Linked DNA regions of Oryzias latipes. The protein of the gene in region 1 interacts with the protein of each later gene in a pairwise test. Links are inferred from orthologs where the notes say so. Each region holds a gene or a part of one and is shown on either strand. Other genes may lie near its edges.

The links.
Region 2: the proteins of sgta (region 1) and syt11 interact in binary tests that used the Homo sapiens proteins (3 or more experiments, as listed by UniProt). The two-hybrid records come from large-scale screens. The link is inferred for Oryzias latipes from reciprocal best matches to the Homo sapiens genes SGTA and SYT11.
Region 3: the proteins of sgta (region 1) and CD99 antigen-like protein 2 interact in binary tests that used the Homo sapiens proteins (3 or more experiments, as listed by UniProt). The two-hybrid records come from large-scale screens. The link is inferred for Oryzias latipes from reciprocal best matches to the Homo sapiens genes SGTA and CD99L2.

What each region holds. Positions count from the first base shown.
Region 1 is NC_019862.2:5,208,426-5,211,995, reverse strand, and holds part of sgta (small glutamine-rich tetratricopeptide repeat-containing protein alpha), read right to left. Parts: intron 2,281-3,570; coding exon 2,145-2,280; intron 2,077-2,144; coding exon 2,014-2,076; intron 1,934-2,013; coding exon 1,896-1,933; intron 556-1,895; coding exon 376-555; intron 307-375; coding exon 195-306; 3' UTR 183-194; intron 1-182. UniProt on the Homo sapiens protein: Co-chaperone that binds misfolded and hydrophobic patches-containing client proteins in the cytosol. Mediates their targeting to the endoplasmic reticulum but also regulates their sorting to the proteasome when targeting fails.
Region 2 is NC_019874.2:31,725,319-31,729,555, reverse strand, and holds the start of syt11 (synaptotagmin-11), read right to left. Parts: upstream 2,848-4,237; 5' UTR 2,624-2,847; coding exon 2,590-2,623; intron 1-2,589. Other genes in the region: uncharacterized protein LOC101164342, read left to right, coding at 3,685-3,736. UniProt on the Homo sapiens protein: Synaptotagmin family member involved in vesicular and membrane trafficking which does not bind Ca(2+). Inhibits clathrin-mediated and bulk endocytosis, functions to ensure precision in vesicle retrieval.
Region 3 is NC_019876.2:27,084,948-27,088,984, reverse strand, and holds the start of CD99 antigen-like protein 2, read right to left. Parts: upstream 2,848-4,037; 5' UTR 2,705-2,847; coding exon 2,647-2,704; intron 1,607-2,646; coding exon 1,550-1,606; intron 1-1,549. UniProt on the Homo sapiens protein: Plays a role in a late step of leukocyte extravasation helping cells to overcome the endothelial basement membrane. Acts at the same site as, but independently of, PECAM1.

The sequences.
Region 1 (3,570 bases):
TTTGGAGTGAGGGGGAGGAGCTTATGATGTCGGGTGGGGTTAGTCAGTGATCTGCTGAGTGCACAGGACTGACTGCTGGAGCTCTTTAGCTCTTGATCTGGTCCACTTTTTCGTCTTGAATGGGTTTTCCCTTCAGCTTGCGGTGGCTGGTCTTTGTGTGCAGTGCGGCTGCAGCTCGGTACCTTCTGCGGGTGTCACGGCTGCTCCTCGTTCCCGGCACTGGGCGTTCGGTTGCGGATTTGATTCCTCAGCTGTTCGATGAGTTCGGGGTTCTGCTGCTGCATCTGCTGAGCGAACTGCTGCCCTCTGCAACACAAACAGCGGTCAGCCCTGGCAAGCTCTCCCTCCAGCACAGACCTGAGTGTGGGTACGCACGCCTGGATTAGCCCCGACAGATCTCCTGCTGCAGGGGCTGTGGGGGGTGTGGGGGCTGCAATGCCACTGCCGCCGCCGCCGCCGCCACCACCGCCTCCTCCTCCTCCTACTCCTCCTACTCCACCTCCTCCACTGCCGCCTCCCAACCCGCCATAAGCTCCAGACATCATCCCGGACATCCTAAAGAACAAACAGGTCAGCCCATAAAAAAAAAACAAAGATGTTCATTGAAAAGTCATTTGAAAAATTAAAAAACTGAAGGAAAATTACATCAGTGAGTAAAACTTGAACAGCTTTTCATTCTTTGTTCCTGCTTTTTCTGCTTTCTTTAACCCGGTTCGTGATGACAAACTTTCATTTCCAAACGGTCTTCAACCACATCTGTCGAGTTTCGGGCTCTTCGGTGGTTCCGTGTGAGAGCGGCCGAGCATTTACTCACCTCTGACCAATAAAAGCTGCTAAACGCTTTAATGGCTGCTGCTAACTTTCTTTTTATTTGGCCTTTCGTTGTACATTTTCGCTTGTCTGCAGGAGAACGCTCGGGGGTGCGTTTGGTTCGGTCAGACACAGGAAGTGATCGTCTTCTGAACTGAATGACTGACACCTGAAAATCTCTCATTTTCTGAAATGCTGCATATGATTTCAGAAACCAGAAAGGATCACATTTCTTTCATGAAACCAATGAAAAAATAAGAAAAAAACTAACTTTGTTTTTAAGTTTGAACTAAAAGCAACCAAATAACTTTGGATTCAGTCGTTGACCTGGAGGCTTTTTTAGAGGTGTGTGTGCGCGATGGGAAAGTCCGGATCAAGTTCTTTTGGGCTCCAATCTGATTCCAAGTCATTTGATTCTGAGAATCTGCTGATTCAGAGACCTGATCCAGTACTTTTGGAATCCATTTGAAATTTAAACAGATCCCGGTTTTCCCCGACTTGTATTTTACGTATTGTATTTTTCTTCTTTTGTTATTTAACACTTAATCAGAGCACTTCTGGGAAGTAGATTTATCAATCAAGTAACAATAGAGAAACTATTAACTTAGTTTGGCGATTGTAGCTTTAGAATATTCAGAACTATTGAACATTTTTGATCAGATGTGATTCATATCTCCATTTAACTATTGACAGCTTGCTTTAAAAAATAATAAAATAAAAATTGCTGTTGTGGCAAGAATATGATGATGAATACTAATGGCTAACTTGTGTCAAAGTAACCATTTATTGGCTTTGGTTGTTTTTAAGATCTCTCTCTCTAGATATGTATATAAAAATGATATGCAGACTTCTAGTAGAGCATTTATTTGAAAGTGCTGATCATAATAAGACTCCGCTACGATTCTACTTCAGTCTTGCTTGAGAGCAGATCGGGACATCTAGATGGTGTCTAGAGCGCGTGTGTGTGTCAGTGTGTGAAAGACAAAGAGGAAGAACAGAGGAATGACCTCTTCATATCAAAGTTTAACGGCAAATAGCTGGCCGCCATGGAGGAAACTGTAGAGGGAAGAAAGAGTCAGACTTACAGTTGCTGAACCTGAGGGTTGCTCATCAGAGAGGACGCCTGCGGACAGGAAGTGACAAAAGCATGAGAGACGAGCAGCGGCGCTTCAACCTGCCGACGTCGCACCGATCTGCTCTCACCATGTTCATGAAGCCGGGGTTACTGAGAAGACCGGCCAGGTCCACCCCGCCCATACCTGCAGTCTGACACACAACACAGCTTCAGAACCAGACCCCCCCCCGGACGCCGGCCAAACGCCCCGCCTCCTTACCGGACTGGACGTCTCCATCTTCTCCTCTGCGATCTTCAGGTTGGTCTTGTAGGTGTCATTGTCTGGGTCCAACTCCAGCGCCTTCTTGTAGTAACCGACAGCTTCAGTGTGTTTGTTCAGGCTGGCAAGAGCCAAGCTGTAACACAAACACGCAAAGACACACAAACTCAGACACAGGAAACAGTCCCCCTCAGAGTCAACTCAGAACTATAAGTCTTTCATCTGGTGGGGAGGGAGGGGCTGTAGTCAAACCTGCACACAGAGCCGCTGAGACGCACAAGCACTTTTTTTTCTTCCTTAGTACGGGAAACATTTGATTTCTTAACGCCGTTAAAACACGTCAACACATTAAAAGTTTCACCCGAGTTACCAGCAGCGCGTTTGCACAGCCATTCAGATCACGCCATGAGCCAGACAGTGGTGGAGACAGAATCTGAGCCAAAATAACCATTTCAAAGGCCCCCGATCTCTGTCCCAATAACAAATATCGGCACCGATAATCGGTCGACGCCTAGTTAAAAGCCCTGTAACAGCTGCAGGCCCAAAGCTTTGCGCTGTATGACAGAGAGCCGCATTCTGGCTCCTCCTGAGCGGGAACATGAAGGGAAAAGCGGCAAAAGGGAAACATTTTTACACAGAAAAAGGACTATGACCCATGAATCAGGCAATATCACAAAGGTGACCCCCTAACCCGTCGCTTTCGTGGAACAAAACCCCCGAACTTAACTAGTTGGGATTTCAAAACTAGAACTTTTTTTTTGTGCAAACAAATAACCTCTTTTGCAGAGGATTTTTATTCCATTTTATCAACAAAAACAAACAAAGAAACTTTTTGTAACTACTTGAATGATATCGAATTATTTTTATGTAAAAAAAAAAAGGGTTTTAAAAGTGACTAAAAAAATCCAAATTATTGCCCCTGTAGTGGTAAAACCGTTAACCTCTTCATTCTGCCTCTTGCATCATTTTCACGCATGTAGTGGCACTCTCTCTGTTCGTCTTTCTCTTGTACCACCGTTTGAAGTCTGTCCAGCAACTGTTATTTGAAACGCGAGTGAGACGTGTTCTTCATCAACTGTTTATTCCAAAAAATAAATAAAATTACACGAACAATGATTATTTAAATTAACTATTAAATGAAAAAAGTGCATTTGGCTTCAAATAATAACTATTAAATGCAGGATTCCAGATGTTTTAAGGCTGAAAAACTCCTCACTACACACTGTAGTCAGACAGAAAGGAAGATTTTTACACTTTTCTATTTGTTTACTAATCTTTAAGGTTAAATCTTCAAGGAAAAATACGTCCAATATAATAAAATACAAAACAAAGATCTCATCTAGAAGATTTCTGTCGATATGGAAATCTATATGTATCTGGACAGGAGACTCGGTACAGAAGATTGATTGACAATCCTAGCACTGTT
Region 2 (4,237 bases), on another chromosome or scaffold:
TTAAGTGAAGCTGTAGGGGTGAACTGTCATTTTCTTTAGTACATGTTTTCTCCTGTTTTTGTTGGGTTAGGGAGGTTAGAGTTTTGTCTTTGCTTTGCCTTTTCTTTCATTTGCAGGTAAGATGACATGTTTCAGTTAGGGGGGGGGGGGGGGGGGGGGGTTGTCATTTATTTTGGCCTGGGTTCACCCTGAAGCCTTTTTGCTTCACTTTTAGAACTAAAGGTGACATGTTTGGAGAATTCAGAACCGTCCTAGAAACGGGTCCTGGTCTGATAAAACACAGAGTCAGACTCCAGGTTCTTGCTGAGGCTGGATTCTGATCCAAACCCAGATTATCAGGAGCAGAACCGGAATGAACCTCTAATGAAAAATGTGGATTTTACCGAATCCCACCTGAGGACAGCTCAACTGGCAGTCACTGAAAGGTTCTGATCAAACCAGACCAACTGTGAGCAGAACCGGGAGAACGGTTCCAAAACGAGAACCGCCTCAGAGTAGATGAAGTAAACGTGACATGTTCCTCTGGGACATCAGGGGGGTTGTCTGAAAACCCAGAGTAGGTGAAGCTGCTGAGAGGCAGAGGAGGTGCAGTGGGACAGGAAGGAGGAGGAGCAGTGGGACAGGAAGGAGGAGGTGCAGTGGGACAGGAAGGAGGAGCTGCAGTGGGACAGGAAGGAGGAGCTGCAGTGGGACAGGAAGGAGGAGGTGCTGTGGGACAGGAAGGAGGAGGAGCTGTGGGACAGAAAGGAGGTGCAGTGGGACAGGAAGGAGGAGCTGCAGTGGGACAGGAAGGAGGAGGAGCAGTGGGACAGGAAGGAGGAGGAGCAGTGGGACAGAAAGGAGGAGGTGCAGTGGGACAGGAAGGAGGAGGTGCAGTGGGACAGGAAGGAGGAGGAGCAGTGGGACAGGAAGGAGGTGCAGTGGGACAGGAAGGAGGAGCTGCAGTGGGACAGGAAGGAGGAGCTGCAGTGGGACAGGAAGGAGGAGCTGCAGAAGCTTGAGGAGCTCTTTGTTTGCAGGGAACAGAAGAGGCTTGTTGGAAACCCGACTGCAGCGATAAACACAGGCCTCATTCAGGGGGGGAGTTGCTGAAGCACAGCAGCCTCACACCTACGACCCACAACAGTGTAGACCTGAACCTGCACACTATCAACCTCCTCAGTAACATATCAGCAACTGAAACAAACGAGACTTTGAGGCGTCTGAGACAAAGCAGCCGTCATGGTGGGGGGGTCTTTTTCACATTAAAGCCCCCCTCTGATCGTCCCCAGTGTTTTTTTTTAACTAGGATTATTCTGGTTTTGACTAAATCTAAAATCCTGTGTCGTTTTCTAGGACATAGTTTCTGCAGAGCAGCACCAGTTTATTAGAAGTTGACCTCTTTGTGGGCGGGACTGTTGGCGCAGAGCAACCCCCCCCCCCCTTTCTGTTGCTGAGAGCTGTCTGTTTACACATTCTCCACATAGCATTAGCGGTGTAGCAACATGGCATCTATCTGGACTCTGGGCAGCGGCTGAGGCTCTGGACTGCAGGAACCTCCCTGTTGCTGTTTTCACTGGCGCTCCCAACACATGATGTCATCTTCTGGGGAGAGCTGGAAGCGGCTCACGCGGCTGCCTAGCAACCCTCATACAGGCGCACTCAGGCTCAGCTGAGACCCGTTTGACAGGCCAGAGACCCGGGAAACCGCCGGACAAAAGCTGCTGTCACAGGGCCGGTCACATGACCTCAGTCAGAAACAATGCAACTCTTTTCTTTTCTTAAAATGTCCTTTAGAGAGAATTTATTTTGGCTGAAACATCTACATCTAGGATCCAGTCATTATCCGATCCACTCTATAAATCACTCTTTCTCTGTTTGAGTTGGACTTCGGGGCGTTCAGTGTCCACTGATGGGTCTGAAACTACACTGTCCTGGTTCCCAATGATCCACAGCTTCTCACGGGACAGAACCGGGCCTGGTTCCGCCGAACCCCCGCGTCTATTCAGGCGTACTCCCGGTAAAACGGGCGAGAACTGTGAGAACAATGAGACAGCAGCGACAATCCTGCGCATGCGTGGGCTTTTCAGGCGAACAGTACAGACATGACGTCACCCCTCACCCACCCTTACTGGCACGCGCACGCACACAAGTAACGGACTGCGCGCGCACGAGCGTGATTAAGGTACTGACAGTTTTTACTGCGATTTAAAAAAAAAACAATTAAGAGATAAAAAGTAAAAAAATTAAATAAATAAACGATTTTTTTCTTTACAAAAATACATATAGATTAAAATAAAAGTCAAATAAAAAACAAACTTGTTTGCATAAGTGAAGTTTTGAATAATAATCGTTTTAATATAAATATGAAATTTAAATCCGAGTAAAAATTGTCTTGAAATTCTGTGATACAATCAATGACAGCGAAAAAAGGCACCGTCGGGCCCACCGGGCTGTAACGGGTCGGTGCTGTCGGTACAGCAGGGCCGGTTCAGAGAGCAACTCGGTATTTTACCGGCGGAACCTTCCAGAAAACAGAAAAACCTCAAGCAAGGCGACATTTTAACCGAAAAACCGTAAAGAAGCACCGATGGAGCTGAAAAAACTCACCGTAGGCGGGTCCCAGCTCCACCATGTCCGCCATTTTGTGGTTCGGTGCGGTTCTGCGGTCTGGACGGTGAGAATAAGAGGAAGAGGAAGAGACAGCAACTGGATTCCGTCCGCCTTCACTTCACATCCATGGAGGAGCGACGACTGCGGAGGATTCACCGAGGAAGGAGTCGCTGCTACCGGGAGACGGCCTTCATGCGTCTGCGCGGAGCAGAGGGGCGCGCGGGAGTCGCTGACCAGAGCACTGCTTCAGTGATGCTCGCGCGAGGATGCAGGGAGGCTGCGCGGAGCAGCGCGCGATGAGACTGGGCAAAGATCGTCTATGAGAGCTGATGAGTCACTGCGCGGCTAGTTTGGCGTTTTTTTGCGTAACAACTAAAATTACAATATAAAACTGACTGTAAAATCAATGCTAGCAGAAAGTAATACAATTGTTTAAAACAGAAAGGCAACTTTCGTAATTAGCATCAAACACGTTTAAAACCAAACTTTGGTTTTTCAGAATAATTACCAGAGTGAGAGCTCTTCCTACCGTTCTTGACTTTGAAGTGGTCCTCGCGGGAGCGAAAACCTGCGCAGCTCTGATGCGTCACAACAGTGTTAGATAATAAACAGGAAATGTACTTATATGTGCACGAACTACTTTAGATGTGAGCGAAAGAAAATAAAAATAAAAACCATTCAAATCAACAATGTGTTGATTTGTCTCTGAGAACGGATGTTTGTCAAAAGAGCTGCAAGAAGAAAAATGTCTTTGCTAAGATTCTTTTCAGAAAATGATAAACATAAAGGGCTTTAAGAAATTAGTACAAGGAAGTCATGGAATTATTTTTGAGGAACTTTGTTGGCGTGCAACTTCTTCGATGTTTGCATTCTTTTAAAGACTGAAAGCTTCTGGTGAAAAATATACATTCAAAGTCAGTCAGAAATGAAAATGTTAAGCATTGAGAGTTATGACTCCAAAACTGAAATTACGAAAGAAAACTTCCTGTATAGAAAGACAGACGGAAGTTTGAGTTTGGTATTTTTAAAGCCTGCCTCACAGATTTCTTCATCTTTGCTCAGAGGTTCAGCTCTGAGGAGGAGCAGGGAAGAATGCAGGTCCAGCAGCTGGTGATTGTCTGGAGCTTCAAGGTTCTCCTGGCAGGTAGGACCAACATCTGTTCAGAAACCGCTGCTGTTGTTATCAGAGACACAAAACGGAGAATCTCTTTCTAGAAATCTTCCTGTTCAGAGTTGAGCAGGGACATTCACTGAGGGAAGTATAACAGATCTGGACGCGAAAGTGGTAAAACTAATAATAATCTGATTATCTGAACCAAAAGGTTCAGAATTTCTTTGTTTTTGAAAACTAGAAATAAAGCTTCACAAAATGCTCCACATCTTTCATCTTCAAGCTATAAACAGACAACTTTGGTGTTTTTGGATTTACTTCTTTTAGAGTTCTAAATATACGACTTTATTCTGGTAATTTAACAGTTATGACTTTTTTCTGGTAAATTTAAGACTTAAATAAATGTTGTTGTGTGTGAGCTGCCCCTGAAACTCAGACGTATGAGTGAATGCAGAAGCAGACTCCAACCTGTAAAATACTAGAATGATGGCATCATTTGTTATCCACTGAGTGGATCAATAAAACAAAACAAAC
Region 3 (4,037 bases), on another chromosome or scaffold:
TGTTCTGTATCACTGCGCTGCCTTCTTTAAAAGAAACTTTTGCTTCATCATCTGGACAAAAACAAGCGGTAAGAGGTGAACTTTCTCTCTGAACTGATGCTTTATTTAACACATCGTGATCATCAGCATGTGTCGCTTTCCTTTGCCGCTGCGGTAGAGGGCACCGCCAAACGAGCCGCCTATGGGGGCGCGTTGCTATGTTAACCTGACAACACGCCACGTCACAAATAGTCAGTGTGATCCACAGCAGAAATATAACAAGAATAAAGTCCAAAACCTGGTTCAATATTTATTTCTTTTGTAAGTGACCATGGCATAAGCAGGTACATTTGAATCGTCCTCTGAGGAAAGTTGCTTCTCTGAAGTTCGTTCATTTCTGATAATACACACTTCGCCAACCATTAACCCTTACAGAAGACACTTCACACACGTAGAAGCGTGAAACTTTAACAAACACAATGCAACCTCGGACGCACTTAACATACTTGCAATGCAGCAAGACGCATGGATTTCCATGACTTTTAGTGCTGATCGCATGTAAATAAATGAAACGCATAAAAAATAATAGGAGAGTTTGATGTTATTCTTGTTTCCTTGGGAAACATTTACCAAGACCTCTAATGTGAAGTGGCAACTAAAACAGAAAACTCATATAAATGCTCATTTTGATCATATCATTAACCTAATTAACTAAATATTCATATATTTTTTTGTATATCTTTAATTACTGTCTGCCACAAGTCAGGAAATGTCTGAATTAATATAAATACTTGAATGATGTGATGATGATTCTTAGTTATTTTCACAGCGACTGTATAATAGAACTGGACTGAGTGAGCGTGATGTCATCCATCGAAGACGGATTACTTTTGGCTCCAAGTGAAGTCACTTCAGTTGCAGTGTTTTCGTGATACGGCCGTCGCCACGTTGGAACCAGACGAGCAGTGATTGGTCTAAGTCGTATGACCGGATTCCCAAATACTCTTTCCTCACAGCAGAGCCAAGCCTCAAATTTCTTTTAGAAATAAAGTATAGATTGTGTGTGCATGGGGTCAGGGGTCATATGTGTCAACAGAGGGGAGTGGGAAGGATGAAGGGTAGGATTTTGTTGTAATATTGTTTGTTTGTTTTTAATGTTAAAGTGCTTCAAGTTGCGCAATGCATGAGAATTGTATTTTTTTTACATAAATAAAGTTTGATGGTAACCCCTCTCACCGATCAGGAGTGAGCTCGTTGGAAATAAACACTCCTACCACTTGAAAGTGGGCTGCGGAGGATCTGTCAATCAAACGTTTGACGTGCGACCACATGCTTTTCAATTTATAACTTGAATAACAATTAAAAAAAAAGGTATCAGAGCAAGAATATTTGATTCTGACTAATAAAATGACAGTAACAGCTGCTTGTTTCTCTGTAGAAGTCAGTCTCTGGGAGTTTGGCTTCTTGGAGCCAGCGGGTACTTCCTGTTTGGAATGCCAGGGGGAGGGGTCACTCAGTCCAGTTCTCATGTACAGTCAATGTCCTCCCCTTGCACACGCTCAGAACTTACTTGGCTCGTCCTTCTCATCCAGGGCATCCGAAAGGTCGAAGCCATTCTGGGACAGAACTGAAGAGGAGAGCAGAGAAACACGTCAGAAAGACTCCACCTCTGCAGGTCCAGATGGTGCTGCTGTCCCACAAACACAAACGGACAGGAACGCCTGCAGCATGCTAATCCTCTGAATGCCAATGCTGCAGCGCTGGCATTCAGAGGACGAGCAGGAGCAGAGGCAGACAAAAACCCAGCAAATTCCACCGCCAACCCGCTGCAGTTCCACAACAACCGCGCACACGTTCCATCCGCAACGCGACCCAGGACACGTCTGTGTGTCGTGGTCTGTGTGTTTTGAGGAGTATCCCACCCAAAGGAGCAGCTGCTGGGACGGAGGGGGATTCTGAGTGCAGATTGACAGACTGCAGCTTTTGGAAGTACATCCTAAAGACTTAGAAAGGTAGTGAACGTGGTTTATTCTGGGGAGGACCCCTTAGGTAGGAATGTGTCTGTGGACCGCGGCCCAAACGTGAAAACGAATTGTGATGAAGGGCAGAGAAAATGAGAGCAGAAGTCTTGCTGAGGAAGACCTCACAGCAGAGAATCTGGACAGAACCGAGCAGACTAGAGTTTTTGGGGCCGGATCACAGAAGGAGGTGCAGCAGAGAGAGAGAGACAGACACAGGGAGGCGGGCGAGCTGCAAGACAAAGAAAGGGAGGCTGCAGGTGAAAAAGGGAGGCGGCCACGTCCCACACACGTGTGGTGTTGCTGCAGTCACAAGGAGACAGTTGCTTCTGTGCAAATGGTCACCTTTACATTCAGAGTGAAGATTAAATCACAGAAATATTACCATGCATGTGTTTTGTTTTTTCCCATGATCTGCCTCAGCAGCAGCAGGGAGCTGCCGGCTCAATACAAATTCATCCATGCCAGTCAAAAGAATCATAATAATTAGTAATAGTAATAGTAACGGGAAACAGAAGAACCGAGTCAAAAACCCAACACGTAATATAGAATAATAGAAGTGCCGCGTGCTTCCAGGCCGCAGAGGACCGTTATTCCCCCTGACTCACTGACTGCACGCGGCGCTTCACAAAGGCGCGTGCCGGCTCACCTTCCACGGTCAGCAGCAGCAGCAGCAGACACGGAGCGCGCGGGCGGCGGGCGGCCATCACTGCAGGCGGAGGATGGATGGATGGATGGATGAGGGAGGACTCAGTCTCCACACCTGTCTCTACAGAGGAGGGCAGAGTCAAGACACAATGGCCCGGACACGAGGGACACGCCCACACTGGGCCACTTCCGGTTGCCCTTCAAAACAAAACCAGAAAGCAATGAGACTGTATGTAAACAGTATTAAATCCTACACCGACAAAAAAAAGCTGTTATGACCGTTTAAACATGGTCTCTTTTGAAGCTTTAACATACTCCTGTGACTTTATTATGTTTGCTTAACTTGTTTTACATTGCTTTTATTATAGCTTTTTGACATTTTTGTTCATTTTCCTGGCAAAAGTGAATGTCTTTTGCACATAGTGTGGAGTGTCAATATTTGGTATTTTGTATGTGCAATATTTGTTAATAATAACAATTAAAAAAAATCTCAACAGAGATATAGAGCAGAACGGAAATGCCTCACAGGGGTTATTACAATTCATATTGAGACTATTTAACATTTAAAAACAACACTAATAAGAAATACCAGTTAACATTTGGGCCATTCATTCATTTTCTTAACCGTTTTTCTCTTTTGGGGGCTGCTGGAGCCTATCCCAGCCACTTGTGGGCGAAGGCAGGGGACACCCTGGACGGGTCGCCAGTCTGTCACAGGGTAGAACGTCCACAATCACACACCCATTCACTCTCACACTTAAGGACAATTTAGAGTTGCCAATTAACCTATGAAGCATGTTTTTGGACGGTGGGAGGAAGCCGGAGAGAACCCACGCATGCACAGGAAGAACATGCAAACTCCACACAGAAAGGTCCCCCATTGATGTTGTTTTTCACATCCCCCAGCCGGGACTTGAACCGGGGGCCTTCTTGCTGTGAGGCAAGAGCGAAATTTGGGCCAATGAATAATTTTTTGCCAAAAGAATGCCAGGAGTGTGCAAAGCAGTATTCAAAGCAAAAGGAGGGTATTATGAAGAACTAGAATATGACATATTCTCTGTTGTTTCACACTTTTTGGTTATGTATATAATTCCACGTGTGTTAATTCACAGTTTTGATGCCTTCGGTGTGAATCTACAATTTTCATAGTCATGAAAATAAATAAAACTCTTTGAATGAGAAGGTCTGTCCAAACTTTTGGTCTGTACTGTATTTATGTTAGTGTTACAATTTGTATCCACCAAACAATGAAATGTAAAGAGAAAACAGCATTTTTTCGAACTATAACAACAATAACTATAACTTGATTTGGTGCTTTGGTTAGCGCTCTTGCCTCACAGCAAGACGGCCTCAGGTTCAAGTCCCGGCTGGGGGATGTGAAAAACAACATCA